Linked DNA regions of Mus musculus. The protein of the gene in region 3 interacts with the protein of the main gene of each other region in a pairwise test. Links are inferred from orthologs where the notes say so. Each region holds a gene or a part of one and is shown on either strand. Other genes may lie near its edges.

The links.
Region 1: the proteins of Atxn1 (region 3) and Srebf1 interact in binary tests that used the Homo sapiens proteins (3 or more experiments, as listed by UniProt). The link is inferred for Mus musculus from reciprocal best matches to the Homo sapiens genes ATXN1 and SREBF1.
Region 2: the proteins of Atxn1 (region 3) and R3hdm1 interact in binary tests that used the Homo sapiens proteins (3 or more experiments, as listed by UniProt). The link is inferred for Mus musculus from reciprocal best matches to the Homo sapiens genes ATXN1 and R3HDM1.

Annotation. Positions count from the first base shown.
Region 1 is NC_000077.6:60,199,259-60,209,905, forward strand, and holds part of Srebf1 (sterol regulatory element-binding protein 1 isoform a precursor), read right to left. Parts: intron 10,003-10,647; exon of another isoform or gene 9,868-10,002; intron 8,000-9,867; coding exon 7,580-7,999; intron 7,316-7,579; coding exon 7,137-7,315; intron 7,053-7,136; coding exon 6,915-7,052; intron 6,820-6,914; coding exon 6,598-6,819; intron 5,976-6,597; coding exon 5,864-5,975; intron 5,344-5,863; coding exon 5,129-5,343; intron 5,009-5,128; coding exon 4,813-5,008; intron 4,720-4,812; coding exon 4,541-4,719; intron 4,350-4,540; coding exon 4,088-4,349; intron 4,008-4,087; coding exon 3,841-4,007; intron 3,673-3,840; coding exon 3,504-3,672; intron 3,070-3,503; exon of another isoform or gene 3,004-3,069; coding exon 2,901-3,003; intron 2,648-2,900; coding exon 2,538-2,647; intron 2,455-2,537; coding exon 2,322-2,454; intron 2,154-2,321; coding exon 1,988-2,153; intron 1,578-1,987; coding exon 1,377-1,577; intron 1,360-1,376; exon of another isoform or gene 1,280-1,359; coding exon 1,168-1,279; intron 894-1,167; coding exon 664-893; and 1 more.
Region 2 is NC_000067.6:128,189,966-128,200,612, forward strand, and holds part of R3hdm1 (R3H domain-containing protein 1), read left to right. Parts: intron 1-672; coding exon 673-774; intron 775-3,494; coding exon 3,495-3,791; intron 3,792-7,008; coding exon 7,009-7,132; intron 7,133-10,647.
Region 3 is NC_000079.6:45,958,237-45,968,901, forward strand, and holds the start of Atxn1 (ataxin-1), read right to left. Parts: upstream 6,756-10,665; 5' UTR 6,579-6,755; intron 6,390-6,578; exon of another isoform or gene 6,369-6,389; intron 6,149-6,368; exon of another isoform or gene 5,338-6,148; intron 5,202-5,337; exon of another isoform or gene 5,093-5,201; intron 1-5,092. UniProt on the Homo sapiens protein: Chromatin-binding factor that repress Notch signaling in the absence of Notch intracellular domain by acting as a CBF1 corepressor. Binds to the HEY promoter and might assist, along with NCOR2, RBPJ-mediated repression. Binds RNA in vitro.

The DNA.
Region 1 (10,647 bases), on a different chromosome or scaffold from region 3:
GGGGGACACAAACAGGGTTCCCAGTCTACTCACTAATGGGCCCTGATCCTTCGCCTATGCTGGTGCACAGAGATGACTAGGGAACTGTGTGTGTTTCTGGATATACGGGGTTATTACCTGGTGGAGGGCTGGAAGGCAAAGGAACAACTGAGACCATCAAGGCCCCTCAAGGGTTATGAGCCATGAGATCAGAGGGCCAAGGTGGCTCAACATAGCATCACCAAGCCAGCAAATACACCTTACAACAGATGGGAAGTCCGGCTTCCCAAAGGACAAGCCAGGAAAGATAGCAATCAGCTGAGGCAGACATCTGCCTACCCAGATAAACAAAACTGAAGTTATAAATAATTTCATTTTTTAATATTCTGTACAAAATTTCTCAACCTATGAAAATAAAGTTTGCAAAAGTCAAAGTAGTACATGGGCCTGCCCTGGAGCCAGGCCCAGCCGGATCTACACTATGTACAGGTCTCCCAGGGTGAGCCTCAGCTAGGGAAAAGCCACTAAGGTGCCTACAGAGCAAGAGGGTGCCATCGGGCCAGTGCAGCCTCTGCAATTTCCAGATCTGCCACTAGAGGTCGGCATGGTCCTGATTGCTTGTCAGGCTCACCCTCTGGAAGACCACAGCCAATGACAAAGGTCCTCAAGGGAAAGCTTTGGGGTCTAGCTGGAAGTGACGGTGGTTCCGCCGCCCAGGCGCAGGAGCATCTGCTGGCAGTCCAGCAGTAGCCGGTGATCGCCAAGCTTCTCTACGGTGCGTGCCGCCTCGGCCAGCATGCTCATTCGCTGCCCAGGAGCCGACAGGAAGGCAGGGGGCAGATAGCAGGATGCCAACAGCAGGGCCTCGGTGTGCTCCCGCCATGTGGGCCGTGGCTCCAGCTCAGCTGTAGTGCCTGCACAGATCACATCAAAGGGAGGGAGGCTTAGGTCTGGCCGAGCCCACACCCCATGTGCAGGACAAAGTAGCTGAGCTCTTCCACGTGGAACTCCCAGTCTGGCTGCTTTCTCCACTTGGGCTGGGCACACAGGGGGGCTCAGCTTCTTTCCTATGACTGCCTCAAAAACTGTCATCCCCGCTGATTTCTGTAAGTCAGCTCTCAGTATGTCTCACTAGACCAAGACGGCCCCTGACCCTCACCAGCCCTGTAAGCACAGCCACCTCCTCACCTCCTTTGCCACTGGAACCTGCCCTCCTCCTCAGACTGCGATCCAGGAGCTGGTGTGTCCGGGCAGGACTTGCTCCTGCCATCAGCCGAGCTGTGGCCTCATGTAGGAATACCTGAGAGGCAAGGAGTAGTCACCCGTTTCAGATTTACTGTCCCCCCACTCCCGGCTTCCTACCTCATGCCCCTCAGTGTGAGAACAGTGGGACTCACCCTCCTCATAGCAGGCCGGAAGCTCTGTGCCAACCGCCGCAGGCTGCTCAGGTCATGTTGGAAACCACGCAGCTCCAGAGCAGAGGCCTGGGGTCCATTGCTGGTACCGTGAGCTACCTGGACTGAAGCTGGTGACTGCTGCCGCTGCCACAGACTGGTACGGGCCACAAGAAGTAGATCACACAGGAGCAGCTGCATGGCCTGGGATAGCAGGCAGGGCAGAGGGAGGAGTTTCCCTATGGACATCAAGCTTTCCCTAGCTGAGGGCCACCCTGTCTCAAGGCAGCGTCAGTAAGGGCAGGAAGTCCACAGCACTGGGGCCTGACTCCAGGTTGCATCACTGAAGCACTGCATCTGCCTCAACACATGCACCGCCTCCTGCTACAAGCCCGCAGTCTTCCCAACAATGGCTCCCAACAGGAACCCTGCCAGTCTGCTCCCCACACCCTCCTTCCTGGTGGTGGCGAAACAGTAAAGCCCCCTCTCCCCAAGACTTAAGCCGTCGTTAAAACTGAGGTAAATCCATTTAGCATTATTCTGTACTAACACCAAGAACCTGGAAATGGACAGCTGTGACCCTGGCCTAGACAGGAACCCACCCTACCCCTCACCTTGTCAATGGAACTGCCAGTTGGTGTAGAGGCTAAGCTGTCCCGCAGGTACCCACTGGCCTTCTCACAGATGGCCAGGCTGGCTGGGCTAGATTCCACCTTTCTGTGGTCCAGCAGAGCCCGGGCAGCCTTGAAGGAGTACAGAGCTGCCCTGGGCAGGGGTCTCCTGTTGGGGCCATGGCAGACATAGGAAGTTAGACCAAACTACAGCCCTCCCTGAGATCTCCCGCCACGGTTCTAGACTCCTGGGAGGACAGCACTGTCCTCCTGTACAGATATTTAAGCAAAGTACTGCGGGGCTGACTGGGCGGGAGGGACCTGGCTGGGGACTCACTCAGTGTCCTGCAGCACCTGGGGGATATGCTCTACCAGTGGGTACAAGCGCTCAGCTGCCTCTTCATCCCGCCTCAGCCAGTGGATCACCACAGCTGTCAGTGAGGCCCACCACTTGGCCACTGGGTCTGGGCCTACAGAAGAGGGAAAGGTGCTTGACTTTCAGCCACACTGTATCTGGGTCTGGCAGGAGTCAGGACGGGGGTCTGGAGCTCACCAGTGGTGGCAGCCATGCTGGAGCTGACAGAGAAACTGCAAGCAGGAGCCCCGGCAGCATCAGAACAGCTATTTAGCAACTGCAGATATCCAAGGGCATCTGAGAACTCCCTGAGGCAGGAGAGAGCTGTCAGGACACATAGCAGCAGTCTCGGGTTCTGGGTGAAAATGGCTCTCACCAACCGTCCAACCAAGCATAGTCTGACCCTAGGATTCTACAAAAATACCACCTGTCTGGCTGATAGGGGAAAGCAAGACCCAGAGAGGCTCTGAGAACAGAGTCTGGCTACTCAAGAGGTTGGACAAGGCTTTCCCAGATGCCCTTGTTGTAGGTCTTGCCTGGGAGTGACACAGACAAACTCACCTGTCTCCGTCAGCTGCCCCTGGGCTGGGCTGAGCAATACAGTTCAACGCTCGCTCTAGGAGATGTTCACGGAATAGCCGGGTCACCTGGGCCAGCGGATCCACTGTGAGAAGGGTGAGCAGAACAGAGGTTAGGCACCCTCCTCTCTACAGTCCCCTCCCACACCAATGCCTTAATAAGCTGGGGCCCCAACCCAGAGCTACTTCCTAGTTCCAAACCCTAACAGACAGACAGTGATGGGTCCCTGCCCTCATAAGCTTGATGGGGAAGAAGGGGTAGGCTGTGCACAAGCTACACACTGGAAAGGAGAGCCTATTTAGTCACATACCCATGGCCCTGACTCTGCTCAGGACTCTTCCTAAGACAACAATGGTGTCCCCTAGAGTCACCTCTCATGTCCCCCATTGTCTGCTGACCCATACTGCTTCCTGCTTCTAAAGAACCTTGGCAAAATCCAGCAAAAGCCACCTCATAGCCACCTCACAGCCCCAACCCCACAGGGCAATATAAGCTGGTAAGTGAGGGCATTCAGAGAAGAGGGGACAGTGCAATGTGACATAGGGACAGGGATGAGGCAGGGGTAAGAACAGAACGAGAAAGCACCTGGGTTCCCAGCCACGCTGTACAGGCTCTCCGGGGGGGCACCGTGCACGGCCCAGTCCCCGTCCACAAAGAAACGGTGACCTACAGGGTGGCAGAGCCACTGCATGGCAAGAGGCACCGAGCCGCTCTGTGCTAGGCAGGCCTGGCGGGCGCTGCTCAGGAAGAAACGCTGTAGGGAAGGAACAGAACTGTCACACTGGCTCCCAGTTGGATCCCAGGAGGGCCTACAGCCCACCTGCTAACCACTGCCACATCCTGTTTAGCCCCTTGCCCTGGAAGTGACAGGTTGAGAGTTGTAAAGAGGAGCCCCCAGCCCTGTCCCCATCAGCCTACTCACTGTCAAGAAGTGCAGGGCTCTTGGGAGGCTGGTTTTGACCCTCAGGGCCGCTGCCACATAGATCTCTGCCAGTGTTGCCATGGAGATAGCATCTCCTGCGCACTCAGCCAGGTTGAGGGCACTTAGTGCCAGGTTAGAAGCAGCAAGATGTCCTCCTGTGTACTTGCCTGCAAAGTGGGTGAGGCATGAGGACAGGAGGTGACGGTGTGGTGGGGACCCTCGGAGCCCAGCTCCCAGCCAGCCATACCCATGGCATGCAGCTGGTGCAGCTTATGGTAGACAACAGCCGCATCCCGGGCACTGGCACGGGCATCCTTCCTCAGCCCACGGTCCCTCAGCAGGCCCCCGGCCTGGCCTGCCAGCCAGCGGCCCACCCAGAGACGCTGGAGCAGGTGGCGGATGAGGTTCCAAAGCAGACTGCAGGCCAGATCCAGGTTTGAGGTGGGCAGGGGCCGGCCCAGCGCTTGCAGGGCCAGCCACAGCTGTTGAGCAGCCTGGGGGAAATCTCCCTAGAGAAAAGATTCTCAGTAAGAAAAATGGCAGCAGGGATGGCAGCAGGGTACCCCCTTGTCTGGGCCCCTAGAGTCAGGAGCTCTGAAGGCGGGGGATGAGACAGACTGGAGAAAATGAAGTGAGCAGAGGCACCCAGCACCTTCCAGGCCCGGGGCCCCACCCCGCCTCCTCAGGGTCAGCCCCTTACCCGGGCCAAATCCAGGTCAGCTTGTTTGCGATGTCTCCAGAAGTGTACAGCCGGGCCAGAGTGTGGCCTAGTCACAGGTTCCCCATAGACAAAGAGAAGAGCCAAGCAGGCCAACACTAGTAGTCCATTGGCCAGCCAGACTAGGGGTGGCAGCAACCACTGGGTCCAATTAGAGCCATCTACAGGCAAAGAAAAGGTCTGAGAACTCAGTTCTCCGGAAATCCAAAGTCCCAAAGGTCTCTGCCGACAACACCTGGGCTGACCTGACTCACCTCTGCTCTCTGCCTCCAGCATGCTGCGCCCAGAACTACGGTGTGTACCCGTAGCATCAGAGGGAGTGAGAATGCCCCAGCCGAAAAGCGAGGCCAAAGGATTGCAGGTCAGACACAGAAAGGCCAGTACACACAGGGCCAGGCGGGAGCGGTCCAGCATGCCTCGGCTGTGTGAAGGCAGCCGCTGGGCTTTGACCTGGCAGGGAGCAAGGGAGGTAAGGGCATAGAGCTCAGCTAGCCCCAAAGGCGAGGCTAAAAGGTGGAGGAGACTGCAGGGCTGCTGGGAGAGGGAAGGGGCCATATTGCAGAGTCCAACCTGGCTATCCTCAAAGGCTGGACTGTCGGGCTCAGAGTCACTACCACCACTGCTGCTAGCTCTGCTGCCAAAAGACAAGGGGCTACTCTGGGAGGGTGAGCCGGCGTCTGAGGGTGGAGGGGTAAGCGTCTCCACCACTTCGGGTTTCATGCCCTCCATAGACACATCTGTGCCTCCTCCACTGCCACAAGCTGACACCAGGTCCTTCAGTGATTCTGTAGGCAGAAAGAACAGGGCTGGTGAGAGAGGCCTGGCCGCCAAGCGCCAGGACTTGGATGGTTCTGTTATGCTCAAAACAGGGGCCAAGGTAGGGTGAGAGCCAGAGACAAGGTTGGGCAGGGATAGAGAAGGCAGCATCAGGGTGGCAATCTGAATGAGAATGGCTTTCAGAGGGTCCCGTTTGACCGCTTGGTTCCCATTCCTGTTTGGGAAGGATTGGGAGGTGTGGCCTTGCTGGAGGAGGGGTGTCACTGTGGTAGGCTTTGAAATTTCAAAACCCCACACTATTCTCAGCTAGCTCTTTCTCTTGGCCTTGTGGCTGTCTCAATATTTGAGCTCTCGGCTACTGCTCCAAGCGCCAAGCCTGTCTGCCTGCCGCCACCACTGTGGTCATGGGTTCACCCCTGAAACTGTAAGCCTTTAATAAACCTGACCATGGTCATAGTGTCTTCACAGCAACGGCATAGTGGCCAGGACAGCAGGGGGGGGGGGCGGGGGGGAGGGGCTGGGACTCACTGCTTTTGTGTGCACTTCGTAGGGTCAGGTTCTCCTGCTTGAGCTTCTGGTTGCTGTGCTGCAAGAAGCGGATGTAGTCGATGGCCTTGCGCAAGACAGCAGATTTATTCAGCTGTGAGGAGAGGGAGAGGGCTCAGCCAGCCAAGTGGACCTGACCACAGGTACGAGAGCAGGTAAGAGCCGCTCTGCGTCACAGCTGCCTCGGGGCCTCTGGACGGGACGGTTCCTTCTGACTACAACTCTCCTATGCTGCTGTCTCCTGACAGTACCCACTCCACAGGGCAGAGATAAAAGTCACCCTGTGAATACTCACAACGGTGTCTCCCAGCTGCGGCCCCTGCTGTCTCCACCTCACATTCCCTACACCCTCAGCTCTCTACGGTGAGACCTTCCTTGACCACCCAGTTCACAACCACAACTTTCACTGGTCCTGGTTTCTTCCCCGAACATGGGAGCCAGCCGCTGCAATTCCCACTACTCCCCTAGGGAGTCAGTTCCTCCAGGACAGGATTTCTGTGCTTCATCACCACGCCCCCTCAATGCATAGACCAGCTTTCTTTATCCAGGCTGCCCTTGATAAGACCTAACTCCGCAAACGGGACTGCCTAGACCCAGACAAGTTGATGCATATGACTAAGTGACGAGGACTGACCTAATCCCATCCCCGGCTGGCTGATGTGCCCCATTTCTTCCCTGGTCACCCTGACCTGAGTCTCGCAGGCCTTTGGCCGTACCTTTGCTTCAGTGCCCACCACCAGGTCTTTGAGCTCCACAATCTTGTCATTGATAGAAGACCGGTAGCGCTTCTCAATGGCATTGTGGGCTGTGCGCTTCTCACCACGGCTCTGAGCTGAGCCTAGGGCCTTGCTGCCAGCTGCGAGTCGGTGGATGGGCAGTTTGTCTGTGTCCACAACCAAAGGTACTGTGGCCAAGATGGTCCCTCCACTCACCAGGGTCTGTGGGGTCAGATGCATCTCACCAGGTGGACAGACACATGCGCAGCCAACCCTCCCCCCCCCCCCATAGTCTCCCTTGTGCCTGAGCCATCTACCTGCAGGGGACCTGCCTGCACGGCTGTGCCAGGAGCCAGGGTGCTGATGCCTGCAGTCTTCACGGTGGCTCCTGCATCTGTCTTCACAGCTGTCAGCAGCAGTGAGTCTGCCTTGATGAAGTGTGGCTGCAGTACAACCTGGATGGGAGGGGCCAAGCTGTAAGCGAGCAGCATCCAAGCCAGGCGTCCCCACCCCCCACCTTCCTGGTCAGACCCACTCACTGGGACCTGCTGGACCTGTGAGGTCACAGTGTTTGTTCTAGGGGCTGCTGAGGCTGGCAGCGGCTGCTGGGAGGCCAAGCTTTGGACCTGGGTGTGCAGGGCAGGGGTGGGCAAGACTCCTGGTGCAGGGGCCAGCGGCAGGCTAGATGGTGGCTGCTGAGTGTTTCCTGGAAGGGTCCCTGCAGAGACAGAGTTTAAGGTTGCTGGCACAGGCTGCCTTGCCGACCTTTACCCCGACTGGCCTCACATAACTATCCCCATTACTTCATAGCAGGACAGACCCTGCACATGTCACCTTCCAGCTGCACAACTGGGGGTTGGGGGGATGCACTGGGCCCAGAACCAAAGGGCATCTCAGGTCGCAGGATGACCACCTAACTTCTGAAGCCTGGGAATTCCTCTGTAAGAGCACAGCGGCCACTCTTCTTCCATCACTCGCTCACCTGAGAAGCCTGAAGGCAGGCTCGAGTAACCCAGCACGGGCGCAGGGCTGAGCTGTACGGGTGGTGCGGGGAAGCTCGGAGGCAGGAGGGTCCCCGGTGACGGCTGTGGCGCTGCAGGCTGTAGGATGGTGAGTGGCACTGGCTCCTCTTTGATCCCAGGCCCAGGGGAAAAGGGGGACACGGACGGGTACATCTTTAAAGCAGCGGGTGCCGATGGTGGAGGGGACAAGGGTGCAGGTGTCACCTTGGGTCCTCCCAGGAAGGCTTCCAGAGAGGAGGCCAGAGAAGCAGAAGAGAAGCTCTCAGGAGAGTTGGCACCTGGGCTGCTGGGGCCTGTGTCCCCTGTCTCACCCCCAGCATAGGGGGCGTCAAACAGGCCCGGGAAGTCACTGTCTTGGTTGTTGATGAGCTGGAGCATGTCTGGGGGAGGAGACGACGCGGTGAGTGAGTGGCAGCAGGGTATGGAGGCCAGCTCCACACACAGCCGCTTGTGATGTGTGCAGGTGACAGTCCTGGGCACACCAAGGAAGGCCTGTACTGTTGGAATCCTTACTCATTTCTAGCCTGCGCTTCATGCTGTGGCTGGCTGAGACTGTCCTCTTCAAGGCTCTTGCCTCTCACCAACATCTCCTAACATCCCCAGCATAGCACACAGCAGGGCCACATTTGTGCGTTCACTCATTCACCTACTCAGCGTGTACCAAGTGCCTACACCAGGCAAGGCCTTCTTCCTGGGCCCCCTTCTCCCTAAGGCTTGGAATCAAAGAACAGAACAGACAAAAACTTTGTCTATGCTATGCTATGCCTAGCAACGCTGGGGTCTCAGCTACTAGGGAGACTATCCTCGAGAATCCAAGTCCAGCCAGACGGCTTGTGACACACAACTTTAATCCCAGTACTTGGGAGGCAGGGGCAAGTGGATCTCTGTAAGTTCAAGGCCAGTCTGGTCTATACAGTGAGTTCCAAGTCAGCCAGGGCTACAGAGTGAGATCCTTTCAAAAAACAAACAAAAACAAAACAAAAGAAGGGTAAGCGTCCAGCTGAGCAGTCTGATGGAACCTTACCTCACAAGGAAGGAAAATTCAAATCCCACCCAAGAACCAAGATCTTCCCTGAGAATGCTCAATGGCCCCTCTCTTAGTGTGTTTTATATCCGTGGGTTGGTGGGTTTTTGTGTGTGCCAGAGTGGAGCAGAGAATGCACATGATCAGCACATACTCCACCACTGAACTCTCTACCTTGGCCTGTCCCGTTTGTTTAATGTGAACACACGTGTCCATACGTATGCAGTACTTCCCCAACCCACCCCCTCATGACCCTGGAGACTGACAGACAACCTGGGGAATGCAGGCACTGCAAGTGAGCCCCATTGCACCTAGTATTTTAGGGATCAAATTCAGGTCTCTATCAAATGAGCAACCTCCATTTCTGGGCTGAATTCCTGCCATGGACGAAGGGAACCTTTAATCCCACCGTCCTGAGGCATCCGCTGCTCAGTCCTGCAACCATGCAGGTGCCCTCTGTACTGCATGGTGAACTCTGAGCACTTGCTCGAAGGCAGGAGGCCATCCAAGACACCTCTCCCGCCCTTGCTGCTCCCTCTCCACCAGGATGGCTTGTTAAAAGAACACATACTCAGTCTACAACGTGGACAGCCCTGCTCTGCCCCAGTTGAGCTTCCATTTCTCAATCTGTAAAACAAGGGCATGCCTCACACACTCAGGAGGTCCAGTTCTCAGTAGAGGAACAGGTCCTAACAGGCAGTAGGGCAGAGGGGACACAGAACAAAGGAGCTTTTACACTGGAGCAGCGTCCATGCCCACGGACACTCCAGGGCTCTTCCTTTAAGGGTGTTTGCACAGGGTCCCCTGCACACAGAACTTGACAGAAACTCAGAGACTCACTGGGATTCCAGTGATGTCACCCACCCACTCAGTTACAAGGGAAGAGGGAGCTACAGAGAGACAGGGTCGTTCTAACGGCCTCTGAGAGTGGAACTCCCAAACAAGAGTAGCAGACATGGCACACATCCACGGCAGGCAAGGTCCTTATCCATCTTGGTCAGACTCAAAAAGTAAGGTCCATGTCAGCATATCGGGTCTGGCCAAGCAGCAAGCCCACTCTGAGGTCAAGATACTGACTGAGCCTGCTTAGGCCAAACAGATGCCCTGTTGTACAAGTGAAGTGACTGAGCTGGCCTAGTCTCACTGAGTCCAAATCTCCCTGACAGTGTTGAGAGCTAGCCAGTACCCCTACTCAGACCACCATCTCAACCTGGGCGTGCTCACCTGCTCTGGAGGCAAGAAAGGACACTGGTGCAAGGGCCACAGGCACACAGACAGCACACAACAGACTTCATACCCAGGTCTACAAACAGGCTGAGCTATTGTTGCAGCACCTTTCCTTGTTCCACCAAAAAGCCAGGGGCAAAGCCACCATCGCTAACCCACTCCTCAGCAGAGCACATACCCAGGCTTGGAGCAGAACCAGTGGCTGGCCAAGTAGCCAACCAATGTGCCTGTGTGTTCTGGGCATGGAGCCAAGGCCCCGGGTCTGGCCATTCTGGCTTTGGTTTCCCCTCTGGAAAAGCTCTCTTATCCTGGCTCCTTCCTCCTCGCAGGGACTGAACAGTCCTCCCTGGCACCATCCCAGCTCCAGGCCCTCTACCCCAGCTGGCAGCTAGCAGCCTGGCTGGCTCAGTCCAGGCCCTCTCACCCACTCATGGAGGCCACCTTTTGGGTCAAAGGGCTCTATAGCATATAGTGAGCATAACACTAGGGGGCCCACACTGCTCTCACATCCCCTGCCCACACCTCCACTTGCGCTGGAGGCCACCTGCCTCCTCTCCCTGGGCCTCAGTTTCCTCCTCTGCAAAAAAGAAAGGACTAAAACTAAACCGTTTGTTTGACACCCTTGCGTGAGGCTTTGCCCACCAGAGCAGGGTATCAGTACTGCCCATTGACAGATGTTTGAGCAAGTGGTGTGTAACTGCAGGGGAGAGACTGCCGTGAAAAAAACAGGGTGGCAGGCTCAGCCTTCTGGATGCTTGCAGACTCTCCAGATTTATG
Region 2 (10,647 bases), on a different chromosome or scaffold from region 3:
CACACACACACACACACACACACACCATGTGATTATGTGATGCCTGTGGAGGTCAAAAGAGGGCATTAGATTCCCTAGTATTAGAGTTACAGATGGATGTGAGCCACCATGTAGGCTCTGGGAACTGAACCTGGATCCTCTACAAGAGTACATGCTCTTAGCCGCTGAGACATCTCCCCAGTCACCAAGCAGGTTATTCTTACAGTTTTTTCACACAGTGGTGAAGTTTTAAGAACATTGTCTCTTAGAATTTAAACATGCTTTATCAAATAAGAGGATTGGTACAGATGCTATAGAAATTTATAAGGTTTTTATTTATAATTTAGTAGTATAGAGCAACTTAAACATAGGACGGCCCCATCACAAAAATCAAGAAATAAGAGTAAGAAGTTTTGTTTTTACTGACAAAACTCAGATAATAGGGTTTCAAATGGCTAATGATGTTTCTATTAATGACATAAAAGTTAATATTCTCATTATGAAATCAACTTGAGCCTAGGTATATTCTTGCTGTTTTGAATTCACTTGATACTATTTTTCTTGTTGAATCTCTTGTAATTTTTATGACTTTATAAATGTAAAGCTGTTGCCCCAAAGTGTAAATTTCCATGCTGTGCACTTCTTGTAACATTTTCTTCTGACATTAACTGTTTACCCACCTGTTATTCCTAGCCTGTTGGTCCTCTGCAGTCCTCTTCTCAGCCTGTTCAGTGCTCTCCAGCCCCCTACCCATCCCCGCTCCTGCCAGTCTCACCCACCCAGCAGTACTCCGTGGTACTGTATCTCCTTTCACCTCACTGTTACTATGGGCATTGTGTGATGAATGCTTCAGACTGTGCTCAGTGTGATTTGCTCTTTTACAGGAAGTTACATAGGTAACAAAGGTTTTTTCTAATTCTTATTAATAATAATTTATTCCTTTTCATAAGACAGTGATTATATCAACTTATAGTAACTATAAAAGACTTAATATTATTCCTATTTTTCAGAAGGGAAGTTTTCAGGTTGAATGTTCTGAACTAAGTAGTCTCAGATAGTTTAGTTTGTTTTTTTTAAATCGAAGTCAGTTTTGAGTCTATGTAGTCCTGGAGGGCAGTGTCATAGAGTTCTAATTAAAACACCATTACTAAGATCAAGATGGGAGGAAAGAGTTTATTTCATCTTACCTCAGGAGTCTAACTATATTTCTGTGGGAAGTCAGGGCATGAACTCAGGGCAAGAAACTGTAGGTAGGAGCTGAAGTGGAGGCCATGCAGGGCTGCTGCTCATTGGCTTGATACTCATGCCTTACTCAGCCTGCTTTCTTATACAACCCAAGAATACGTACTTGCCCGGTGGTGGCATCGCCCACAATGGGCTGGCCCTTATGACATCAATCACTATTTAAGAAAACATACCACAGACTTGCTGACAGGTTAGTCTTACTGAGGCTTTTTCTTTTTTTTTTTTAAAAGATTGATTGATTGATTGGTTGATTGATTGTTTGATTGATTGATTTGGTGTATATGAGTACACTGTCTTCAGAAACACTAAAATAGGGTATTGGATCCCATTACAGATGGTTGTGAGCCACCATGTGGTTGCTGGGAAATGAACTCGGGACCTCTGAAAGAGCAGTCAGTGCTCTTAACTGCTGAGTCATCTCTCCAGCCCCATTAAGTCATTTTCTTAATGAGAGTCCATCTTCCCATGTGACTCTAGTTTGTGTTGTGTTGACATAACTCTAGTGAGAACAGGCAGCTTTCCTTTTTAAGTACTAGTTAGGTACAGTAGGTCAGAAGCAGTTACTTTCGATGGATTGCAGCATGTAGCTATAGAGAACTTCTGACTTTATCAGAGGTCACTTGACACTTAATTTCTTACTGTAAGATAATACCCTTAATCCAAAGTATGCCCTGAATTATAGTTGTCAGGGTCTGTGAGATCAGGCCCGCACTGCAAGTAATTAGCTTTGTGATGTTAAAACATTGCATCTTTTCCCATACATGAACTAGCTTCTACTTTTAAAAAAATTTGCTTTCTTTAAAGTGAACTTCCTGAAAAACTTGCTTGTTTTTAACTAGGGATATTCTATGTTGACCTGTCCTATGTTGGATGCTTTTGCTTTGAATTGAGGAGACAATATTTATCAGCTTAATCTCTCAATGATTTTATGAAATAACTTTCAGCCTACAAGAAAGAGAAACATGAGGCTGGAGAGGTGGCCCTTTGGTTAAGAGTACTAGCTGCTCTTCAGAGGACCAGGGTTCAGTCTCCAGCACCCACGTGGTAGCCCACAATGCCTTTAATTCCAGTTCTAGGGAAGTCTGACACCCTCACACCCATGCACATGAAATAAAACTGTTATTAAAAAAGGAAACATTATCTTTTATGAATGGCTCTTGTACTTATACTACTTTTTTAATATTTAGCCATATTATTTTGTAATTTAGAACTAGGAGTATTTTCATATATAAGAAGCCGTTTCCATATATTCTAAGTCTGTTGCTTCCTAAGAGCGGGCATTTCATTTTAACCCTATGCTGTCATTTGGGTGACCAATAAGAGATCATGCTTAGGCTGTCGAGTTAGGAGCTATCTGTCGTATGGCACATAACTCATAGCCTTGGCTGTAGTCCACTGGTTGCTTAGCAACGATCCAGAAACAGGACGCTTTGATATAAAGTATCCTCCTGTTTACATTGAGCGGCAGACTGAGAAATTATGCCTATATTATTTTTTGACATATTAAAAAAAGGGAATGACTAGTTAGATTTTGATAGTTGGAAATGCAGAAGAGAAGAGCTATTTAAAAGTCATTTCTCACAGAAAATACTAAATATGTAATATAAAAATGTCCAGGTTTGCTTCTGAACCCAAGTCAACATTTAAACTTCATTAAATACATGTAGCTTTGTTTTTTAAACTGAAAAATGCACTCTCATCTTTTTCTCATGCTATGATTTCCACTAGGTATATTTTATAAATAATATGTAATATCATTATATCTTCCCTCCTACATAGGAGTTCTCATTTTCTTGAACCTGCTGTCTTATATCTTATCTGTTATACATGCATGTGATGCCCATACATATACTGCTACAGCTTGCTTACAAATATATAAAGTGTAATTGAGGAAAATACGTAATAAAAAATATTAAAAATAAATAAATAAAATAAAATAGAAATATATATATATAAAGTGTAGGGCTTGGGTAATATAGCTCAGTTAGTAGAGTGCTTGCCTCATATCAAATTGTCTTGGGTTCCGTCCTAAGCACTGCACAAATTAGACATTGTGATTTATAGCTGATCTCCAGCATTCAGGAAGTGGGAGACAGGAGGATCAGAAATTCATGAAATTTTCAGCTACGTAATGATTTTGAGGCTATTCTCTGAGAGATGAGATACTCAAAGGGATGTGGGGTGTAGGGTGGGGGTGTATTGTAGCATTTGCATTGGTAGGTTTGGCCCATGAATGAAAGGCTGACTGATGGCCAACTTTTTTTCAACAGGATAACCTTGGCGCTCAGTTCAGCCATATGAGTCTTGCCCGCCAGCCATCAGCTGATGGTTCTGACCCTCATGCCACCATGTTCCAGTCCACTGTTGTACTACAGTCTCCACAGCAGTCTGGTTACATCGTGACGACAGCACCTCCACATCCGCCACCACCACCTCCACCACCTCCCCCTCCTCCTTCCCTACCACCTGGGCAGTCAGTCCCCACTGCCAGTTTCTCTGCCTCTGGGCATCCTGTCAGCCAGCCTGTGCTCCAGCAGCAGGGGTTTCTTCCTCAGCCCTCACCACAGGTGTGTTGTTTTTTCACGTTCTTTCTCTCTCAGGAACCTCTAACTTGGGAACAATTTGTGAGGTAGTGTAAGTAAAGCCCATGGTTATCTCTGGAGATTGTCAAATGCCTAGGGAGCAGCCATATAACATTTAGTTACAACTCAACGTACGTCTTCTTTGAATTTCCCTCTGACTCTGAGAAGTGGGTTTTTTTGTTTGTTTATCTTAGGAAAACATAATAAGTGTGTGTGTTAGTTAGGGTTACTATTACTGTGATGAAATACCATGATGAAACAAAAGCAAGTGGGGAGGAAACTGTTTATTTCATTTGGTTTACACTTTCACATCATAATCTATCATTGAAGGAAGTCAGCAAAGGAATTCAAAACAGGACAAGAACCTGGAGGCAAGAGCTGATGCAGAGGTCATGGAGGGGCGCTGTTCAGTTAACTGGCTTGTTTATCCTGGCCTGCTCAGGTTTCATTCTTACAGAACCCAGGACTCCTTGCCCAGGAATAGTACCACCCACAATGAGCTGGGTCCTTCCTGCCAATCACTTATTAAGAACATGCCTTAAGGCTGGCTGTTATAGAGGCACCTTCTCATTGAGGTTCCTTTCTTTTCAGATGACTCTAGCCTGTGTCAAGTTGATATAAAACTAGTCCACCAGTCGGCACAAAGTATATATGACAGCATTTCAAAAATAGGCCAGGCTGAACAGAAGTAGCATCATAGTGGCAACTTTCCTGTTATAAACAAATCTCTCCGTTCACTTCCTTTGATCTTAATTGTTTTCACTATGTTTAATGTGGGTTGGGGGGGGTGTTTGTTTATTTGTTTGTTTTGTTTTGTAGGGAGTAAATTTGAGACAGTTTTTCTATATAGAGCAAGGTTTCCTGAAACTTGCTCTGCAGACAGGATGACCTCAAACTCAAAACTCCCATCTGTTTCTGCCTCCCAAATGCTGTAATTAAAAATGTGCACAACTTGGCTTGACTGTTTTGCCAAAATAGATAGTACATATTTTATTTAGTACACTTGAAACATTTAATGTCTTTAGTTGCTTCTACAAAAGGAACTGTTTTTAAGTTTCACTTTTTTATTTGTTCACAACAAAGGGAATTTGAGCATAGTGATTTTATATCCTGTGGATTCTCTTTCTCTTCTGTTTAGCTACTTCCTCTGAATTGAAACATTCCTCCTTGGTGGTAGGAAGGAAGCTTATATAGTCAGAAAATAAGCAAGACTTACTAGTCTCAGAGCATCAATGAAACTTAAAATTATCAAGAAGGTCCTAAAACAGAAGATCACAAGGGCCTCCCTGATGTTACAGCAACATGTGCTGAGAGAGATTCCTCTCCAGACTAGAGTGTAACTGCCTCTAGTTGTTCAGGGAGTTCCAGTGATACAATTGTCATGAGTTGTCACATGCACTTCAGTGAGCTATTCAGTAATGCAGTGTTTGTCTTTTATTCATCCAGTAAACTCATTGGGTTTGCTAAGCTAGATGTTCCTGGCCTCGTTTCTCTGGTCTGTTGTTTGTGCCATCCAGGGTGTCTTGGATGAATAGACGTTTGTTCACATCTCCCCAGGTAGAGGCAGAATCAGGCAACACCTTTCCATGGATATTCATTGTCATAGTGGACTAAGTTCTTAGTGGGTTTTTCTTGTTTTGCCAGGTTGGTTTTTTGTTTGTTTGCATTATCTTTTCAGGTTAGTTTGTCTTGATTTTGCCTTTCCTTTAACAGCCATTATTAATCCAAGCAATCATTGTGCACATAGTAAGGATATACTCTACCATTAACCTACTAGCTTTCTTATATAGCCTTTTTATGGAGTGAGGTTCTAGTTTTATAGAGTTCTTAGAATTGTGTATATGACAGATCATTTCTCCACAAAAGATTGTTTCTGGGCTTTTTTTTTTAACCCCTTCACTACAACTGTTCGAGATCAGATTAATTTAAAAAACAAACTACACTACGTGTAATGGCACATTACTTTAATGTCAACACTCAAGAGGCAGATGCAGGTGGATCTCGAGTCAGTAGTCAGCCTAAACAGAATTCCAGATCAACAATGACTACATTGTGAGACCCTATCTCAAAAAAGAAATGGGTAATATCTAAACACACTATCTAGAAGGTATTCTGGTCATCTTCTTACTGTCTTTCCACTTTGCCCCCTCTTCAAAGATTTTCTTTAAACACCTTTGTAAAATGTTTTCAACTGGGCATGGGCTCCTCACTGATACTTACTCTCTTGGTTTTAAATAGTTGTGAATCTCTGTAATGGTCTCTGTTGCAAAAAGGTTTTTTGCTACACTTACTTGCCTGTATAAGGATAAATAGAGTACAATTTTAAATGATTGGGAAAATAATGGTTATGGCTTCTCACCAGCATTTATAACCTCTGCAGCCACAGACGAGGTGTATGTACCAAGCAAGCATGAACTCCCTCCTATTGAGTAGGTGTTAAATCCAATTAGACAACTGTTGGTAACCCATAGATAAAAGTGCTGGTTTTACTTCACTGGGGATCCCTTGTCCGGCTGGCATTGTTGTGATTTGTAGCATGTACAGGTAGGTAGGGTTGTTGATTGCTTTTTTTTTCATTGTTAGCTTGCATAGCACCTTTTGATAGTGTGAGAGCTATTCCTCAGGGAGGAGGCTTCCAGTCACTTCAACTCCACTTCCCCAAGCCCTGAGTCTAAATTATGTGGTGTCCTCAGATCTTCGAGATCTGGAAGCAGCCATGAACAATGGTAGCTTTCAGTAGTATTTCAGCCAAGCAAACTTGGTTTTATTAAAAAAAAAAAATGTGAAACAAATACAGCAATAAAATTAACAGCTAAAAGTGATTAGTGAGCACAGTGGTAAATGTCTTTTGCTCTGTGTGGTTTGGTTTGAGGGATTGTTTGTTTTGTTTGAGACAGGGTCTTTCTATTTAGCCCTGGCTTACCTGGAAGTCACTATGCAGACTAAGTTGGCCTCAAACTCACAGAGATCCCCTTGCCTCTGTGTCCAGAATGCTAAAATTAAAGGCATTTGTTGCCACACCCACGGGAGGATATCCTTTTAAAGATACCTGAAACCTGGACTTTATTTTTTTTTTCCATTTAAATTGAAAAATCCAGTTGGTTTTAAAAGGGTTTATAATTACTACTCATTGAATGTGCTTCATGGAAAAACTACTTTTCCAAATGAAACTAATTTTTGTCCTCGTGGCTTACAATTATAGATGCCAGCCTGTTACTGTGCTCCAGGCCACTATCACTCCAGCCAACCTCAGTACCGCCCTATCCCTTCTGTCCATCACAGTTCACACCTAAACCAACCACTGCCACAGCCTGCACAGCACACAGGTGAGTTGTCTCCATGCCAAGGTTTTCAACTCTGGACGTTACTTTGCTTCCAGTTTTACTTTATCCTTTACATTAAGATTCTATTATGCTCAATCTTTGAGGATCTCAGGGGTGTGTGTGTGTGTGTGTGTGTGTGTGTGTGTGTGAGAGAGAGAGAGAGAGAGAGAGAGAGAGAGAGAGAGAGAGCTCTAGTCACATTACGTGAAGAGTAGAAAATCATATCTTTCTTTAGAAAACTACACAGATTTGTGTGATAAAGGGATGAGGGCATAACATGAAGGTTCTGCAAGGTCAGGATCTGGTGAGTAGCTATTGGGTTCTCATAGTCTTGGTAGTAGAAGCCCTTTACAGAGCTATGTAAATCGAGATGGCCTCCATACTATAACCAGAAACAAAAAGCAGAATCTGTTAAATGGTTTCATTTGAACCTTAAATGTCAAAGATGGCTGAAGAACTGTATTCTTTTTCTTTTGGTTTTGGTTTTGGTTTTTTGGAGGGGTTGTGGTTTTTTGGGTTTGTTTTTTTTTTTTGTTTTTTTTTTGGTTTTTTTTTTTTTTTTTTTTTGGTTTTTTTTTTGGTTTTGGTTTTTTCCCAGAGAAACTTCTCTGTGTAGACCTGGCTCTCCTGGAACTCATTCTGTAGACCAGGTTGTCCTCAATCTTAAAGATCCACCTGTCAGAGTGCTGGGATTAAAGATGTATTCCACCACCACCTGGCTTGATGAACTGTATTCTTATACATTTTTCTTTCTCATTTTCAGTTTGATAATTATTTGGTGAACAAGAAACAAATAGAATCTACTACTGGAAGTATAAAAATTATTAGAACTCAATCTTGATTTCTTTTTGTCCTATTTTTTAAAGAATCTGTTGAACTGAACTCCAGTCTCATATTTTAGATACTGTATTAAGGGCTTGGTAATAATTTAGCAATTAGTGATTGCTTTACAAGGTTGAGCACCTGAGTGTAGTCCCTATTCCCCACATAACAACAGACATAGTACGATACTTATCATTGTAGCGCTGGCAAGGGAGAGAGGTGGATTTCTGAGACTTGATTCCCAGCCAACCTGGCCTGATTGGTGTACTCAGAACTAATGAGAGACTATTTTAAGAAGATAAGGTGCACAGCTCTTGAGCAATGATACCCAAGGTGATCTCTGGTTTGTACACATATGTGCACTCATTGATGCAATCCCACAGACACACAGAAAGCTGTCTTACTGATCTTAATGAGCTCATTTCTGTTGCCATCCTGGTTGTGTACTGTTACAAATTTTAATGCGTTATTTAATTAAAACCTGTGTTACGTAAATTAAAGAATTGAGATTAAATTTTATAATTGATTTCTGTAGAGCAGTTTGCGTTCTTTGTCATTGGCGAAGGTACAGATTCTGTGCAGAGGCATTTCAGTCAAGCTGCACAGAGGAGTCTGCTGTTATCAGTGCTGTCTCCTAACTCTTTAGACCTACTTCTGGACTGGTCATTCCAGTGAAAATACTCACTTCTTGCTTCTTGTACAGTGTAGTCAACAACTCCCATTGCAGATAAGAGTCATAATTAGCACAGCTCCACATCCAAACTTTTGTGTCCTTAACCTGCTATACCTGAAAGTTTTCTGTTCTTAGTGGTTGGGCTCCTTTTTCTGTTCACTAGCCCTACATTACACATGCAACAGGTATTTTCCTACATGCTTTGGCATCTTCTGATCATTTTAGCTAAACTATAATTTTTTTTGTCTCAAATATGACTCCTTTTAATGTCAGATTTGCCTGAAGCCTAGTAATATGGCCCATGTCAAAGAATATAAACAGTTTATATTTTAAGTTAAGAAGATATCAAAGTTGTTGCTAGCTTGCTAGTTGTCTCAGCAGGTAAAGATGCTTACTGCGCAAGCCTGACAGCCTGAATTTGATTCCTGGACTTCTGTAAAGGTAGAGGGGAAAGGACCAGCCCCACAAAGTTGTCATGTGTTCTATGACACATCATGTAAACTCTCGCACTCGTATCTTATAATTATAACTTTTTATAAAAGGTTTTTATAAAAATGAGATTGCTCATGAACATTGATCATACTATTGCTCATTTAAGGTCACATAGACAATTGTATTATTCTAATAAAAATGATATTCTAGCTGGGACCAGTGACATATGCCTATGCTAGCGCTATGTGGGCTGAGGTTAGGAAGATCACAGCAGGGTTAAGGTACACTTGGGCTGTATAACAGCACCATATGTCAAAATTAAAACAAAAACCTTAAAAAATAATAGTAAAGAAAGCATTTTTTCTGTGCTTTCTTGGGCCTGAAAATAATTGACTTTTCGTAGTGTATATCTTTTTTGTTTTGCCTTCTAAAATTATAACATCTGATGTGATTTGTTTTTATTTATGGTTTTTCCCCCTGTGGTCCTGGGTATTAGACTCCAGTCTTTGTCTATGCTCAGCAGGCATTTGCTGCCTGGCAACATCCCTTCCTGTGATAGCTCACTAATTTTATAAAAAGTAAATTGAGTACTGGAGCAATGGCTTAGAGCTTAAGAGCACTTGCTCTTGTAGAGGACCCTGGTTCAATTCCTAACACCCACATGTGGCTCACAAACATCTGTAACTCCAGTTCCAGGGAATCCAAAGCACTCACCTGACTCCACAGACACCAAACCTACATGTAGGCTTCTACAACACTTATGCACATAAAATACCTTTAAAAAAATCAAAAAAACTTCAATAGAAAAAAGTAAGTTGGGGCTGGAGAGATGGCTCAGTGGTTAAGAACACTGGCTGCTCTGCCTTAGTTCAATTCCCAGCACCCACACGGTGGCTCACACCCATGTGTAGTGAGATCTGATGCCCTGTTCCACTGTCTGTCTGAAGACAGCTGCAGTGTACTCATATAACAAATGAATAATTTTTTTAAAGTAAGTTGACTCTCATGCCATTTATTTAAGTACTTTTTATATGACTCTCTGTGTTATCAAACCCTGTTAATAGGCAGCAAAGGTCCTCTGCTGTGTATTTATGAAAGCTTTTAGTTTTATCTTCTTTCTGAGGTAAAAATGTATTTCTTACCATAATCAGTTTATAAAATAAAAACTTAGTCACCTGTTGGGACTGTAGTACTTAATTCAGTTGCATCTCTCCACACAGTTATCCCCACTTAATTAAAAAAAAAATTTTTTTTTTAATGCCAAATAGACATATCTATGTGGTAGAAAGTATCACTATCTATCATTTGTGTTAGTTTAAGTGTGGATTTTCAGGTGTTAGTTAAGACAAAAGAGAAGAACACAGTAAGCCAACCTGCATCTGGACAGCACAAGTGCAGAAAAGGTCAACCTATCTTCAATAGTTTGTGACATTATCTGACTCCTAGGTGTCAGGTATAATAAATCACTGTGATGAGAGCTTGAGCTTTTATTTATTTTTTGTATTTGCCTAGTAGTAGCTAGCTTAAGTTGTTAGTTTTGCCTCATTCTGTTTGAAGAATAAGAAGAAAATCCTCAAATATTCTGTTATGC
Region 3 (10,665 bases):
CTTTCCACCAAGAGGACTGTTGGTTTACAAACGGTGGCTGAGTTCAACAGGAGTTCACAAAATTCTATTTCATCTTAACGCAGCACTTATTTTAAGGGCAAGGGAAGTTTTGATTTTTATCTGGTAACGTTTCAAAGGAAGCTTCCAAATACTTAATAATCACTTTCCCAGAAGCTCCAAGGGCTGGGAACTTGGGTTCGCTTGTACACGGATTTGTGTGTACACAAAGTCCTATTTACACATCACCTGGCAGATAAGGCTTGATAGAGTCCAAATTACAGTCTCCTCCCTTTCTGCTGAAGTACACAGAACAGTCAAATGTGATGCAAATGCTGTAAAATATTAATTTACTCTAGCACTGGCATGCCTCCTTCTTTCAAAAAGCATTTGTCCTCTTATCCTAGCCAGAGTAGGAGTTATTTGCTTGCCATATCCCATCAGAAATAGAGAGAGAGAGAGAGAGAAACATGAGAATTAAAGGCAAGGCTACATGAGCTCACTGTAAAAACACACAAACAACAAGCGAGACAATAAACTATAAAACACTGCATACACTAAAATTGGAATCTTTAATATCTCAAAGGCACAAAGCCGAGAAACACAATACTATTAATAGTGAAAGATTACCAAGCAAGGTGGCCCCAAATAACTGAAACTGAGATGATGTATAAAAACCAGGAGGGAACACAGGCATCAGGACCAGGGCCGAGGGCACGAAGAGAGAAAGTCTGCCATACACAGTGGCAAGAAAATGCCTTTTCTTTCCGTAAGAAGCAGACATGCTTACAGGTTGGCAGCTGGAATCGCCACTAAAAGCACCTGATAAGTCACTCTAAACCTGTCGCACTTAAAGGGCATTTCGGTGGAAGCAGGTTGAGTCCTTCTCAGATCAGATGAAGCCCTGCAATCATGGGACCACCTACCCCGAGGTCTTCTTAACACCTCCAGTTTTCTGAAAAGGGCTTTTTCGAGTAGAACACCATTTTTGTTTACACAAGGGTGGTCATCATTGCGTTTTCATTAGCCCACAAATGGCATACATTAAGAGTTATAGAAAAAGCAATGGAACACGGCTGCTAACGTCCAACGGGCCACACAAAGGAGGACTCGAGTTGCTCTGTTTGTCTATTATGGCTCTAAACATGCTTTAGTTCATGTGGGAGTAGTAATAACAGGAAGTACAAATATTTATACTAAATTATCCTAAAGAGTTAAGGTTTATAAGGACTATAAAATATGCCATTAGGCTGATTAGAGTAAAAAAAACATAAAAATAAAATTAGGAAAGAAAAAATAAAAACGCTGTTTCTACCAATAAAGATAAATTATCTCACGACATTCCTTTTCGTCTGTAATTTTAAGAATTTATTAAAAAAAAACTCAAACCAATTACAATTCTTACGGCCAATATTTTTTCCAATTATATAAAGCTAGCATCCTATGTGCACATCATGTTACCGCTCACAGAATTGCGATGAGTGAATTTATTGTACTAAATGAAATTAAATGCAACTGAGATAGTATTACTGAGGACTCTGACATTCACATCTTAAGCAACAAGCGAAAGAGTAAACTGCATAGGTAGAAATGGTGGCCTCCATTGCCATTTCTACAATTTTCTGTCTATAACAAACATTTAACAAAATAGGAAAAGCACCAGTTAATCTTATCAGGTGGGAAATATGACGACCAGGATCAAAGTCTGTTCTTCGAAGCAGTCAGGTTGCACAAACCTCTCTCTGTCTCTGTCTCTGTCTCTGTCTCTGTCTCTGTCTCTGTCTCTGTCTCTCTCTCTGTCTCTGTCTCTGTCTCTGTCTCTCTCTCCCTCTCTCTCTGAAGCCAGTTATTCAGACTTGTGTGACACTCCGAAAAAAATACTAAGCCTGTAAAGTCAGTCAGCCCCAAGCCCCTAAAAAACTGACAGGCTGTCTCCTGAGAAGGCTCTTTTCATATGCAAGTATTTAAGCTTTTCGGAGTCTTCAGATGACTCCAGTTCAGAGAAATTAACATTCACTCCCACACTCAGCTGCTTATGTGAGTTCTGCTCAGGGTTTTGGTGAAGTACATTTATTGACTGACTCCTAATAGGAAGCAGGGCGAACTGCTACAGTCTATTTGGCAGGAGAAGCCGTCTTACAAGGTATGTGCAGGAGCAAAATCCACTTGACATTTCAACACGGGAGAGAAAACAAAGTCACATTATACAAAAGGAACGTGAATCCTTGAACTTTAAGGACAGCCAGACTGGGAGTCATAGGAGTGTTGACTAACGTTTTAGTTGTTTCTTCACACTGGCCGTTCCTGGTTCCTGGGATTCTGGGCACTGGGAATTTTTGGCCATCTTCTGCTATTTGATATGTAACCTGATGGCTCAAGAGTCTTTCTCTAATCTTTCTCTCAAAGGCAACTAACTGGGAGGCCTGAAGTCTCTTTATGCTATTTCTAACAAAATACCACTGCTTGCCAAGCCCTCTTAAAACGAAATGGGGGCTGGGGGAAGGGACACGATGCCTTTTCCAGTTCTCCATCAAGTACAGACACTTCTCGTATTTATTTTGGCAAGAGCTCATTTGTACACTGAAAGGCACAGGCCCACGTCTAACTGCAAGTCAAGCCGTTTCTCTGTCTGTCGCAGAATAGAATCGAGGCCCTCCAAGGTGTGGATAAAACTTAAAATTTCTGTCCTCTTATTTTAGATCCTGGTTTCACATGAACTCGCCTCTCAGAAATAATAGCTCGTTTTAACCACAGTGATACTTTTTTTCACTGGACCAGTGATACTTTTTTTTACTGGACCAGGCCACAGTAATGTGCCCACCACATAAACTCAGTAACCAGGGGAAACTGAGAAACCCCCTGGGAAGAAAACTGCACAACTTTCTCAGTCTTGGCACTGGAGAGGTGAGAGATTTGTGTGTGGGGGGGTGAGTGTCTCTTTATATGTCTTTCTCTCTTCTATTTTAACCGATTTAGCTACATGGCTTTAAAACTGTAAACTGACTGGCAGGGTCACAACTAAATCATGTCACATTCAAAGTTCCTAAAACATTCCCCTTCATTTGGACTGTCTGAGCAATGTTGGGCTACTTTTCTGTTATCTTTTCAGTTATAATATAATCTTTCTGTCCTTAGTAGGCTTAAGGTGGTGCCCAACGTAAGTGCTAGAGTGCAGCTCTCTAGACGTTCATTAAATTATACCCGTAGTATCATACAAACTGTTTACTGTGTAAAGCTCCAAGCAATAGAATGGCTTGTATCATCTCTCACTTAGCTGCAATATATATATATTCAATTACTTCTGAAGATATCAAAGATCAGGAGCAACAGATCCAAATTAAGGAAGATAATATTCACAATGCCTGCCTACTGTCAGTATCCTTTTTTTTTTTTTTATAATGTAGACTGTAAAGTTTAAAACTGTAACAGTGGAGATAGGCTTGCCAGATAAGTCATCTCCTTTTCATAATGTAAACCATCTAGAAAGCCAGCCAACACTGTCAGCAATTTCTATTATAAAGCATGGGTGTGCTGTCCTCTCACACTTGAAAGGGTTAAGTGCCTACCAGGCCAAAGGCTCTAGACTGAAAAAGAAAATGTTGCTTTAGTCAGCTCTGAAAGGTTTCTAGCAAGTATCAAATACTTGTTGATCTGCTCACAATGAACACCAGCAGGATTGTGAGGCTCCTTTCTCTATCTGGGGAGATGCATTTACATACTGTCCCCAGTAGGAACAGCGTGTTGGTTTCCCTTTAGAAAAGCTAAGTAGCTCGAAGCCCCATTCAGTGTCTCCTGACTGAAAGAAGACAGCAATTGAAACAGTGAAGTCTCTCCCCTCCCGGTTCGGGGCAGCTCAAATACTGTGCATAAAACACTTGGAGTAGTTCAGGCAAACCCACCTGAATGGGCCAAGGAACACTGTCTGTAGCCATGGCAACCTGATCTAATTACATGAGTGATCAGGGCTGGAGTAAGTGTACAGAAAACTAACACCACAGACAGTATCTATGATGAGAGAGGCAGACAGGCAGGAGGCTTCTCAGCCTCAGCTTTATGTGGAAGGTGGCGTTCAAGCCAATTTATTTGCAAAGCTGCTAAAATATTGACTGATGCGTGGCCAGTTAGAGGACAATCAGAGGAGATTAAATGCCACAGCTAAGCTGTTATGGTGCAATCCCTTTCCAAGAGTTCTTGCGCATGTTTTTTCTTCTCTCTGGTGGCTACCTCTAGCTTCCCCTGGCATAAGCTTCATTCAAAAATAAAATAAAAATAAAAACCCTCGGCTATCAAACTGTCTTAGCTACCCACCCACCATCAGTAAACCAGAGGGTAGGCTTAACCCAGGCTTCTAGGAATGGCAGGGCTCTTCATAAAGCTGGACACGGTTTAGCAAACACTATTGCAAAAAAGTAACCAGCTGCGCCTAAAAATACCCAGCATGTAACTACCTTGTTGCCTACGATCTATAGCAGTGCTGTTTAAATATTAAGAAGAGCTCGCATTATAAAACAGAAATGTCACTGAGATGACACTACTAGGTTGCTACAGGGAAACATAGGGCATACACACATTCCCCTGCATACCAGGCAGAATGTGAGGTGAGAACTCTAAAGCATTACTTTTTATTCTGTAGGTGGTGTGGGGTCTTCTAATTTTACTAATTGTATCCTGTGGCTCTCTCTCTGACAAACTAAGAAACCTCTTCGGGGACAGAACCAGTTTGGAGGAGTTCCTACTGCACAACATACGGTAAACAAAATAAAAATAGCTTGCCTTTCTTGTTAGCCACATAGCGCATTATATAACCAGCTTCCGACTGGCTTCTTTTTTTTTTTTTCCGCCCTTACTACTCTTCAGCAATTTCCCAACCTTCCCCAAGTATTTATATTGCCCTCTTATCTGTAGGATTATACAGCAAGAAAGCAAAACAAAACAGGACAGCCACGGGATCGAACTAAACCCCATCCTCTTACCCCTGATCCTCCCCCCACCCCACCCCCCGCGCCCCTGGCAGAGTCTAGATACAGCACCCTACTTCCACCCCCCACCACTAAGGTCCTTGCTCAATCTCCCTAGAAAACCTGAATTGTTTCACCTCTTGCAGTCAGCTCTCTACGTGGTCTGAAATAAAATGAAAGCGCACAAGCCACAGAGTTGAAGGAGGCGGCTCAAGAGAGGTCGAAGCGCTGCAGAGTCAACCAAGGGACCACCGTGGACCCCCACCCCCACTCCCCGCTCCCCATCGCGATGGTCCTGGTCCCCGCCCGGCGCGCGAACACACGCACACACGCACCTACACACTCACACGCACTTACTCCCTCCTCTCCGACCCCGCCTCACCTCTCGCTCCGCCCGTCCGGCCCCTTCCCTGCCCCCTGCGGGACCGGCCTGCGCGCTCGGCTGCAACCACGTAGGAGGCGGCGGCGGTGGCGGCGGCAGCCCTGGCAGTGGCAGTGGCGGCGACTCGGGCCCCGAGTGAACGAGCCGCGGGGCTCCGGGGCACATCCCAATCCCCGCAGCGCCTCCTCCGCCGCCACCTCCTCCTTCCCCTCCTCCCGTCTTCATTCACCCTCTCTGCCGCCGCGCAGCAGAGCAGTCCCGGCGCAGGGCAGCGCCCGCAGCTCCTCCGCTACTGCTGCGGGCGCCGGCAGAGTCGCCGGGCCGGGCTGGGGCGCTCGCGGGCTCCCGGCTCCAGCTCCGGCGGTGGCGGCGGCGTCTGCTGCTGCTGCTCTGGATCAGGAAGCGGCCGCACCAACAGGGCGGCGGTGGCAGCTGCAGCTAGGGCCGGTCTTCTCCCGCTGCGCTGCGATGGCCCGCGCGCCCTTGCCTCCTGAGGCGCCACCTCTCCGCGCCCCTAGCCTCACGCAAAGTCCCCTCTTGGTCCCCTCGTAGCCCCGAGAGGCTGGCCTAGGCGGGGAGACCCCAAGCTCGGGGTTGCCTCTGTCAAGCTAGGCGACCCCGGGCGGGGAAGCCCAGCCCTCCCTCGAGCCCCCGCAGCGCTCACCGCCCCCACCCGGGAGGGGGGACTGGAGAGGAGCGAAGAGGGCAGCGCGACCCTCCGCGGCTGCCGCCTCCCCCTGCGCCACACGGAAGGAGGAGGACCGGGCTCTATCCGCTCGCCGCCGCCGGACCGGCAGCAGCCGAAACGGGGCGCCGCCGTTCTCCCCACCCGCGCCCCCCGCCCGGGCGCGCCCCCTCTCCTGGCGGCCGCCCACCCAGCCCCTATCTGCTGCCCTTGCTAGCCGCTCCTGCTCCCAGAGGGGGTCCCGAGCCGGGAGGCTGGAGCCGGGCACTAGTGTATGTACACACAGTCACACATACACTCGCGCGCGCGCCTGCACACACACACACACACACACACACACACACACCACGACGCGTCGGTTTCCTTCGCTCCTCTTCCAGCTGTTTTCCGTGCAGCCCATTGAGACTGGGGGAGGGGGGGTGTATGCTGGATGTTCTTTGGCCCCTCTCCGGAGAGAGCAGATTGGGGTGCGGGAGGGGGTGATTTTAATCTAAATCGGGGTGGAAGGGGGAGGGGGAGAGAAAGAATCAGAGGAGGAAAAAAAATAGCCACTTACTGTAAAGTGTAAATGGATCTGGGGTTGCGTGGGGAAGGGGTAACAGAGGGAGAGACACAGTGTCCTGCGGCTGCTGTAGCTCTAGCTGCGGCTCCACAGGGCTTGTTTTGGATCCCCCTGCAGTGAAACAGGTCCTGTACGGCTCCTCCACTGTAGTAGAAATGATGTCTGCGGTATACTCTGCTCTCTCCTCCTCCTCCTCCTCCTCCCCCCTCCCCTCCCTCCTCCCTCCGCCCGCCCTCCCTCCCTCGCGCTCTCTCTCGCGCTCGCTCGCTCGCTCCAGTATGTAAATGTGTAATAGAAGCCAAATATGGAGCAGTTGGCTGCCGCCGCCGCAGCTCAAGGATCCGACTTCATGGGGGGGGAGGGGGGGGGGAGGCACCCTCTGGCAGGCGGCCCGGCGAGCCGCACAGAGCACGGCGAGCGCACGGCGCGGCTGCCGGCCCGCGCCCTTAACCCTTCTATGCACCCGGGCTGGAGCGGCGCTCGCTCCAGGGGAGGCCGGGTTGTCTCTCCGCAACTGTGGCTCCGGATCCCCGACACCGACCGGAGGGGACTGTGCCTTCCAGGTTTGAGAAAGGGGCGGGGAAGTTGGGGCGATGAGGTCATTGGAGTGGTGACCGATCGGTGCTCGCGCGCCTCCCCGGCTCCCTGCAACCTAGTTGGAGGGGGACAGGGTGAGTGCAGGGTGCAACTCAGGCAACCTGGGAGACTCGCAGCGACGGGTGTCAGGATTTGGCTCCTACTTGGTAAAATACCCAAGGGGGCGGGGAAGTCGGCTGATTTCTAATTACGAAGTGCCCTTGGTGCCCCCCGGGTGAGCATCTAAAGAGGACTCATTGTATCCTTACTGTTAACCCTCCAACCCGCCAGCCCTGCGTCATCCGAGGCAAGGCCCGCGCCTGCTGCCTTGGCTTGCAACTCGGGAAAGTTCTCAGGCTTCCCCAGCTTGCACTGGCACCCTCACCTTTCCTGCCTGGACAAGCTGGCGACCTCCCGGTCCTCCTTTCAAATTCTGCTGGTCTCGAAATCTGCTGTGGGCATGGAACGCCTCAGCTCTAGCTAGCCCTGGTAACCGACCTCACTCACTCCTCAGGGCTAACTGTGGATCATTCATTTCATCGCAAGCGAGGTAACCTGTGCACTGAGCAGTCAGTCGATGGTGGTTCTCGGGGAAACCAAGCGAAGGAACGCTCCCCCACCCACCTTGTCCCGGTGGCTAAACGCAGACGTGGACTCCCCACCCGGCCCCCTCCGGCTACACCTCAGCCAAGCGTAAGCTCGAGGGAAGAACTCTTCTCTGGAGGCGTTCACCTTGCCAACAGGTGTGGCACCCGAAAGAAGAGCCATCACATCCCCACGAGGGTCGCTCAGTGCCGCGTTCTCTTTGCAGCAGAAAATTCTTGAAGACCAGTAGGTGTCAGGCCAGCATCTGACCTCTTTCAGGTGCTTAGAACTGAGAGTCTGGAAACTCGATCCCTTGGTCTCGCTGGAAGCCACTACTATTTATTGACTCTAAGCCGGATTTGAGAGACCTTTTGGCTCCGTTTACGTATGACCCAACAATTAGTCACTGTCTGAAGCAGCGTACAGAATCACCAAGAGAAACGTGTGCGCGTTTAAACTACTGTATTGTGGAGCCGGCACTTCAGAAGTTAAATTAAAAAAATAATAATAAAATAAAATAAAAGAGATGCAGTGGTGTGTGTGTGTGTGTGTGTGTGTGTGTGTGTGTGTGTGTGTGTGTTTGTGGTGTAGGACACATTATCTATTCTCAGGTTTTGAAATACCGTGCACACATCCACGGTTGCTTAAATAGAACTACAACTGTTCCCTCTCACCGCCCCCCCCCGCCCCCACTCCCTATAAACTGTGTTGTTCACTTGAGGATCCGCGATTATTAGACTTCATATGCTAAAGTGACATTGTTGGTCTCATTACAGCCTCTAGTGGACGGTTAACGTTGAGTTTCCTGTCGGGGCTCTGTCTAGTTTTGTTTTCCCTCCTGAGCTTTATCCAGGTGAAGGTTAACAGTTCAGAGCTTAACTGACTGGTGTCTTTTCGCTCCCTCTTGGTAAAGCTGTCTTTGAAATGGAGCAGACGCTCGCTGGCTGCCTGTGGGAAAGGCGTCTGCTTTGTGCTACAGGTATTGTTCCGGCTGGCCTGTGAAACCGACAAAGCTTCTGTTATTCGCTTCACTTGCAGACAGCTTTCATATAAAAAAAAAAACAAATTTAATCTAAAATATTTTTATAACAGAAAATATTGGTTGCCATGTTTTTGGCATAACTGAGATGTTTTTATTCCAGCTCATAATCTGTAAACTGTCCAATCCACCTCCACTCTATTTTTAGACATCTTATATTTAGAGAATTTTCAAGGGGAAAAAACCTCCTAATATTGTAATTATTACGTTGGTGCAAGCAGTTAATTTGCATTATTTTAACAACCTTAAACATATTAAAACACATAATTCATATTAGACGTAGTCGATTAATTTAAATGTTCCCTGAAGAAAGCTAAATATGTACATTATCCATACAGTAAAAATAATTAATAAGAAATGTGTTGTTTACTTTCCTAACCATTAAGATTAAAGCCATAAACACTCTCTCTCTCTCTCTCTCTCTCTCTCTCTCTCTCTCACACACATACACACACACACACACACACCTACAGCTATTGCTTCCTGCAAGTTCCAACACAAACATAATACTCATAGAGCAGTTTCCTTACTTGAGTACTGAGATGTTTCATTTCCTGAAGACAAAATGTCAAACGCACCATCTGAGAAGGAACAGGAGAGGCTCTCTAAAAGCAAAAGTTCTCATGGAAATAAAACCTCCATGGAAAAAGAACAAGGTTTTCAAGGTGGCAGCTATATAGCACTGGCCCCTACCCCCAAATCTGATATTATGTTTGTATAAGACTCGGTCGAGCTCTGTAGTGAAGCAAAATTGAGGAAGGAGGCCCTGCTGAACCTTGCTCCTGATGTGTGTTATGTATTATTTAATGTAAAAAGAAATGTTAGTACCTTCTATTTATTTTTTAAAGATATATATTAAAGATACATATATCTTAAATATATTAATACTTAAGATGTTTAATATATATTAAATATATTTAAAAATAAGGTACTAACCTGTGTGTGTGTGTGTGTGTGTGTGTGTGTGTGTGTGTGTGTGAGAGAGAGAGAGAGAGAGAGAGAGAGAGAGAGAGAGAGAGAGAGAGGAGGGTCCTCTTATCACTTTCTGATTATTCCTTTGAGACAAGGTCTCTACCTAAACTTAAAGGGTCATATTTTCTAGACTAGGCTGGAAATCAGCACACCTAGTCTTTGCCTCCTGTCTCTTCCCACTCCAAGTTGAGGTTACAGACCCATGGGATGCTCAGCTGTAAGCAGTGCTGAGGTCCACGCTCGGGACCTCCCTGTCTTACAACAAGTCTCAAGACGTGTCTCCCCCACCCCCCACCTTCTTTCTGTTTTGCTGATTTTTGTCTTGTCTACTCTTGAAAGGTCAAAATGGTCTAGCAACTATTTCTTAGGTCACAAGACTCTTCTGTCACACTTCTGCATTTGCAAGCATGATAGTTAATGCAGCCACAGCTGCTGCAGCACCACCATTCAGGGGATTTTAGCTTTTCTGAGTCAAGGATCCTACCCCACACTAGGCAGGTGGGGTCTGCCTTTGAACCAACTGCTGGGGACTGGCTCAACCCAGCATGAAGAACACTGGTCTGTTCTTTGGGGCGCTACCTCAGCACACTTGGCCCCACATACAGAATCTAATTCTCCAGTGAATTACCTTCATACTAATTAAATTTACCAATGGGAAAAAATTCACATTGCACTTGGACCTCTGTATTCTCAAATTTAATCAGCTTCTGGTAATACACACACACACACACACACACACACACACACACACACACACACACACATATATATATATATATATATATATATATATATATATACACACATATACATATGTGTGTGTGTGTATTCATCTGTACTGAATACCTGTAGACATTTCACTCGTCATTATTCTATGCACAATACAGAATGATGGATATTTCCGTTGCA